Linked DNA regions of Saccharomyces cerevisiae S288C. The gene in region 1 interacts genetically with each later gene. Each region holds a gene or a part of one and is shown on either strand. Other genes may lie near its edges. The genes, in order: JLP2 and HXT1.

What was found.
Region 2: mutations in JLP2 (region 1) and HXT1 together harm fitness more than expected from each alone (negative genetic interaction), as found in Saccharomyces cerevisiae (2 studies listed by BioGRID).

What each region holds. Positions count from the first base shown.
Region 1 is NC_001145.3:534,116-537,490, reverse strand, and holds JLP2 (Jlp2p), read left to right. Parts: upstream 1-1,920; coding exon 1,921-2,547; downstream 2,548-3,375. Other genes in the region: REC114 (Rec114p), read right to left, coding at 43-1,284; ribosome biosynthesis protein RRB1, read left to right, coding at 2,793-3,375.
Region 2 is NC_001140.6:290,380-294,541, reverse strand, and holds HXT1 (hexose transporter HXT1), read left to right. Parts: upstream 1-1,916; coding exon 1,917-3,629; downstream 3,630-4,162. UniProt on the Saccharomyces cerevisiae protein: Low-affinity glucose transporter. HXT1 is as well involved in the transport of mannose.

The DNA.
Region 1 (3,375 bases):
AAGAGGGGGAAACAGCTCAGTTTCTTGCAAATGCATACATACCCATTTCATGAATTCTTCGTCTTTCAACTTTTCCTTGATTAGCCGCTTAGATATTTTTCTTGACGCATTCCGATTAACGTTTTTAACTCTTATCGTTAATCCTTCGCTTGGCGATGCTTCTTTCCTCGTTTCATTAAGTGTGCCGTTAGGTAGCACTTCTTTATTTCTATCAGGGGTATGTGTATTTCCAGATTTTTGGGGGTTTGTTAGTTTATCATCAATATTTTTCTTATTACTGGTATTTTTCTTCGCCGTGTTGTCTTTCCCGGGGCTCCATATAATCGTTGGTGTTGCATCTAAACCAGTGACGCTTTGCATCTGACTTTCCCTTTCCTTTGGTATATGAATAGTTTCTAATAAACCAGTTTTACACAGAGCAATCTCCTTTCTTGAAGTAAAATCAGAAGTGGTGTCGACTTTTTTCTTTTTGTTTTCTGCATTAGGAAGGCAGTTGGTAGTGTTTGGTGGAGATTGAGAAACCTCCAATGGCTGTACAATTAGCGACTCAGGACGACCCAAAACAGTTTGCGTAGCCATTGGAGTGTTGAGGTCTTGTGAAGATTGTACTACATTTAAATCCGTGTTTGGCCATATTTGTTGAGCTATTTGAATGCTGTCGTGTGGTAAAGTTATATTTGAACGATTATTTGACTCTCTTTCAGATTCTTCCTGATAACGTTGACTGAAATCCATAATCATGTTTTGAGTTTGAAATTGCGTGTTCGGATTTGTGTAGCTACTAACTTTTGGACCTTCTGTGAAACAGACCTTTGTACCGTTATTATTGCCTTGCACCTGGCTTGTTATTGTACTCTGGGCTATTGATGTCCTAGCTGTCCTTAAAACAAAATTAAGGTTCTTTAAAGAAACTACAGTCCTGTTGAACTCAACGTCATTTGGCAAATTCATCTGAAACCTCCTTAACATTCTGGGTCCGAATTCTTCGGAGATATATTTACAAGAGATTATGGGGCTTTTACATGAAAATTGTATTAAATCTTGATTATCCCCCAGCGGCAGGCGAATATTTTCGAGAAGTGTTGAATTATTGAGAACCACATTGATCAGAATTTGTCTAGAGTCCATTAGAAGAACCCGAAATTGGAGAGTGCAGTTAGCGGAAAGGTGTTGCCACTTGTCTATCTGAGGAGGCTCAAGCATTGATTGAAAACCATTTGGAGCGAAGGAGGGAATTGTATACTTGGAGTATTTCTTTATTACAACTGAGCAGTACTCGTACATTTTTCTCTTTTTTTTTATTTTAGTTCTCTCTTTCAAACTTAACTTGACGATATGTTAAAACCTTCTCCTTTGCTTTTTATAAGTTAGCCGCCCACCTTGTAACGAAATTCTCTATTAGTAAAAAAAAGTTGATATTCTTTCAGGAACCCACCAAAATGGGCTTCGTATTTAAGTATGTATTAATAATTTATGTTATTATTATTTAAAATACTGAATACTTTAACAGTCATTTAAGTGTTTATGAATATGCAGACGGTAAACTGAATTTTATTTTATTCCTACAAAATCACATCGTAGAACATATAAGTAGTCATTACATCTATAAAAAAATTAACAGTGGTTTGAAAACATTCGTTGTGCTCGATCAATCATTTGAAAAGAGACTTCTTATTTTTTCTGAATGCTAGATGCTATTTACTTTCATCTTTTATACTCTTAATTTATATTTAGTTTAGGATATAGATTATCCTAGGCTTTAATATTTTAATGGAAAAAAACTACAATAAGATTGAAACAAAGAACTTGGATAAAAAAACAAAACAACTCTGTAGACCAGAGGACTGCCTTATACTTAAAATTTAGAAAGTAAGCGAATAGAATTATAAGGCTCAATTGAAATTCAACTTTTCAATAACAATGGTGTATTTCTATGAATCAAAACCAACTGAGTATTCAACACCTTACCAAATTGTGATGGGCAAAGATAAGTTTGAAAACGATCTACTTATCAAATGGAGCTATAGGGAGTTAAACTATGTTTGGTTTCACGCGGATAAGTACTCAAGTGGTCATGTTTATTTAAAGTTACGCCCAAATGAAAAAACAATCGATGACATACCGCAAGAAGTGATATGTGACTGTCTGCAGCTATGTAAATCAGAATCCATTCAAGGAAACAAAATGCCACAATGCACCATCTTGATAACACCATGGCATAACTTGAGAAAAAACAGGTATATGAATCCCGGTGAAGTATCATTTAAGTCTCTAAGACAATGTAGAAAAATGGAATGCGGAGCACGAGATAACAAAATACTAAACAGACTGGCCAAGACAAGGGTAGAACTATTTAATAATGTGGAAGCTACACTTAACGAAGCAAAGAAGACCAAAAATGGTGATTTTTTTGTAAACTATATTGAGTCGAATAGATCAAATCTTATTGAAGAAGAAAAGCTAAGGAAAGTAGCGAAAAAAAACCAAAAGAAGAAGAACAAACAGTCTAAAGATGAGGTTACTGACGATATGCAACTGGAAGTATGATATCATCTACATAACGTAGACGCTTCAAAATAGAGTACCATTTGTACTTACATCGTGATCACGTTTCTTTTTTCGTTCGAGCCGTGAAAATTTTTTTCCTTTCAGCGAAAAATACAGAAAATAAAATCCAACTGAATTTAGCGATGAGATGATCATTTCTTATAGGGATTGTAGTTGTTTGAATTTGTAGGTAAATAGTTATATCACCTACTCTCCGTTTTCATATACACGGAAATAGCACCATAATGTCGAAAAGGTCTATCGAGGTCAACGAGGAACAAGATAGAGTGGTCTCTGCTAAAACAGAATCTCACTCTGTTCCTGCTATTCCCGCCTCTGAAGAGCAAGATGCTCCCAAGAATGACCTAGAAGAACAATTGAGTGATGAATTTGATAGTGATGGTGAAATTATTGAAATTGATGGCGATGATGAGATTAATGACGAAGATGACCTTAGGAAAAAGCAAGAAGAAGCTGAAACTTTAGTACAAAAGGACCAATCCGAAGGCAACAAAGAAAAGATCCAGGAGCTTTACTTACCCCATATGTCTCGTCCATTAGGGCCAGATGAAGTCCTTGAGGCTGATCCCACTGTTTATGAAATGCTACATAATGTCAATATGCCATGGCCATGCTTGACATTAGATGTCATTCCAGATACACTAGGTTCTGAACGTAGAAACTATCCACAGTCTATTTTGTTGACCACGGCTACTCAATCTTCCAGGAAAAAGGAGAATGAACTAATGGTTCTAGCACTTTCTAATTTAGCGAAAACACTTTTGAAAGACGATAATGAAGGTGAAGATGATGAAGAGGATGATGAAG
Region 2 (4,162 bases), on another chromosome or scaffold:
TCATATGCAGAGATATTTTGTCCGTGGTTAATAGGGCTGCCTGTTATTCCTTTAATTCAACTAAATTACGTATGTCTAATAATATCAAAATCATCATGACGTTTTTGTTTTTTTTCTTTATTTTAAGTAGGATCAAACCAGGGGAGAAAGGGTTGCTACGCCTAACAACAAGAACTTGTATATCGTTTCTTGTTACTTATACTTTTCTGCCCACTTCTCTCTTACAACTGCTCGAGCTCATCCTTGGTAATAAAACAGTGAGGACGGTTACTCGAGGTTTCAACAGGGGAAAATAAATTTATATGATGAATCAAGAGCCCCGTTCTTTTACCGTATTATCCTTCATACTACATACTAGGGAAAGAACTGAAAACTCCGCTACCTGCTGTAACAGCGCATAATAAAAAGCAAGAATATAGACAGTTACTGTTGTTTACGTTCTTTGATGACATCATTCTCATCAGACATACAGAAACACATCCTTTTTGTCTACCCCGTATTTATTCCAACTTCAAAGTATAGGTACCGTCCGGTTATACTCTCATATACTTTGTGGCAGTTTGCTTCTTTAAACCTTGTTAACCCAGAATATTTTCAGTGCAAAAAGCTTCCGATCCTCAAATACAGTGAGAGAAAAAGCAAACTTGTCTTCATTATTTTTCTGTTTGGCCCTGTCACGGTTCTTTTTATGGCCTTCTCGAAGGATATCCGTAGTCAATTATATTCACGTAGTTGCCAAAAGTAATTTTTGGAAAACTATTATTCCTCCGAGAAAACCTCACACAGAAATCCTTGCAGGTCTCATCTGGAATATAATTCCCCCCTCCTGAAGCAAATTTTTCCTTTGAGCCGGAATTTTTGATATTCCGAGTTCTTTTTTTCCATTCGCGGAGGTTATTCCATTCCTAAACGAGTGGCCACAATGAAACTTCAATTCATATCGACCGACTATTTTTCTCCGAACCAAAAAAATAGCAGGGCGAGATTGGAGCTGCGGAAAAAAGAGGAAAAAATTTTTTCGTAGTTTTCTTGTGCAAATTAGGGTGTAAGGTTTCTAGGGCTTATTGGTTCAAGCAGAAGAGACAACAATTGTAGGTCCTAAATTCAAGGCGGATGTAAGGAGTATTGGTTTCGAAAGTTTTTCCGAAGCGGCATGGCAGGGACTACTTGCGCATGCGCTCGGATTATCTTCATTTTTGCTTGCAAAAACGTAGAATCATGGTAAATTACATGAAGAATTCTCTTTTTTTTTTTTTTTTTTTTTTTTTTACCTCTAAAGAGTGTTGACCAACTGAAAAAACCCTTCTTCAAGAGAGTTAAACTAAGACTAACCATCATAACTTCCAAGGAATTAATCGATATCTTGCACTCCTGATTTTTCTTCAAAGAGACAGCGCAAAGGATTATGACACTGTTGCATTGAGTCAAAAGTTTTTCCGAAGTGACCCAGTGCTCTTTTTTTTTTTCCGTGAAGGACTGACAAATATGCGCACAAGATCCAATACGTAATGGAAATTCGGAAAAACTAGGAAGAAATGCTGCAGGGCATTGCCGTGCCGATCTTTTGTCTTTCAGATATATGAGAAAAAGAATATTCATCAAGTGCTGATAGAAGAATACCACTCATATGACGTGGGCAGAAGACAGCAAACGTAAACATGAGCTGCTGCGACATTTGATGGCTTTTATCCGACAAGCCAGGAAACTCCACCATTATCTAATGTAGCAAAATATTTCTTAACACCCGAAGTTGCGTGTCCCCCTCACGTTTTTAATCATTTGAATTAGTATATTGAAATTATATATAAAGGCAACAATGTCCCCATAATCAATTCCATCTGGGGTCTCATGTTCTTTCCCCACCTTAAAATCTATAAAGATATCATAATCGTCAACTAGTTGATATACGTAAAATCATGAATTCAACTCCCGATCTAATATCTCCTCAGAAATCCAATTCATCCAACTCATATGAATTGGAATCTGGTCGTTCAAAGGCCATGAATACTCCAGAAGGTAAAAATGAAAGTTTTCACGACAACTTAAGTGAAAGTCAAGTGCAACCCGCCGTTGCCCCTCCAAACACCGGAAAAGGTGTCTACGTAACGGTTTCTATCTGTTGTGTTATGGTTGCTTTCGGTGGTTTCATATTTGGATGGGATACTGGTACCATTTCTGGTTTTGTTGCTCAAACTGATTTTCTAAGAAGATTTGGTATGAAGCACCACGACGGTAGTCATTACTTGTCCAAGGTGAGAACTGGTTTAATTGTCTCTATTTTTAACATTGGTTGTGCCATTGGTGGTATCGTCTTAGCCAAGCTAGGTGATATGTATGGTCGTAGAATCGGTTTGATTGTCGTTGTAGTAATCTACACTATCGGTATCATTATTCAAATAGCCTCGATCAACAAGTGGTACCAATATTTCATTGGTAGAATTATCTCTGGTTTAGGTGTCGGTGGTATCACAGTTTTATCTCCCATGCTAATATCTGAGGTCGCCCCCAGTGAAATGAGAGGCACCTTGGTTTCATGTTACCAAGTCATGATTACTTTAGGTATTTTCTTAGGTTACTGTACCAATTTTGGTACCAAGAATTACTCAAACTCTGTCCAATGGAGAGTTCCATTAGGTTTGTGTTTCGCCTGGGCCTTATTTATGATTGGTGGTATGATGTTTGTTCCTGAATCTCCACGTTATTTGGTTGAAGCTGGCAGAATCGACGAAGCCAGGGCTTCTTTAGCTAAAGTTAACAAATGCCCACCTGACCATCCATACATTCAATATGAGTTGGAAACTATCGAAGCCAGTGTCGAAGAAATGAGAGCCGCTGGTACTGCATCTTGGGGCGAATTATTCACTGGTAAACCAGCCATGTTTCAACGTACTATGATGGGTATCATGATTCAATCTCTACAACAATTAACTGGTGATAACTATTTCTTCTACTACGGTACCATTGTTTTCCAGGCTGTCGGTTTAAGTGACTCTTTTGAAACTTCTATTGTCTTTGGTGTCGTCAACTTCTTCTCCACTTGTTGTTCTCTGTACACCGTTGACCGTTTTGGCCGTCGTAACTGTTTGATGTGGGGTGCTGTCGGTATGGTCTGCTGTTATGTTGTCTATGCCTCTGTTGGTGTTACCAGATTATGGCCAAACGGTCAAGATCAACCATCTTCAAAGGGTGCTGGTAACTGTATGATTGTTTTCGCATGTTTCTACATTTTCTGTTTCGCTACTACCTGGGCCCCAATTGCTTACGTTGTTATTTCAGAATGTTTCCCATTAAGAGTCAAATCCAAGTGTATGTCTATTGCCAGTGCTGCTAACTGGATCTGGGGTTTCTTGATTAGTTTCTTCACCCCATTTATTACTGGTGCCATCAACTTCTACTACGGTTACGTTTTCATGGGCTGTATGGTTTTCGCTTACTTTTACGTCTTTTTCTTCGTTCCAGAAACTAAAGGTTTATCATTAGAAGAAGTTAATGATATGTACGCCGAAGGTGTTCTACCATGGAAATCAGCTTCCTGGGTTCCAGTATCCAAGAGAGGCGCTGACTACAACGCTGATGACCTAATGCATGATGACCAACCATTTTACAAGAGTTTGTTTAGCAGGAAATAAACTAAACAAGCTCAATATGCATATTTTAATGACTTATACAGTATTTAATTTCTCAGTAAATTTTATAAAGGTGATATTATATTGGTGTTAAAACAAAATTCTTGTCAAATTCATAAACAGATGTTCTTTTCTTTGCTAGTTCTTGACCTTCACCAAGGAACAAGAAATTTCATTCTGGCACTCTTCCGAGGAAAAATTTTATATGATATAGTATGGGTTAATACCACATAGGCGCTATACATAGTTCAAACGCCCGCTTATGATTTCGGAAAAATGTCAAATGAATAGAAATTGACAACGCTGCTGCTTCAACATCTAGTAGTGTTACTTAAGCCTGTTAGGATGTTGTTTTTAGGTATTTATAATTACTAGCAATAATTTCCATTAACAGATAACCGAGTCGATCTCAATGGATATACAGTTGCCAATCATATGTATTTTCTGACTGGCACAGGGAGACACGAAAAACACTTGCTTGATAAGAGGTGAAGCAGTAAAGAAAAGACGACAAGTAAAAAAAAAATGACGAGAAA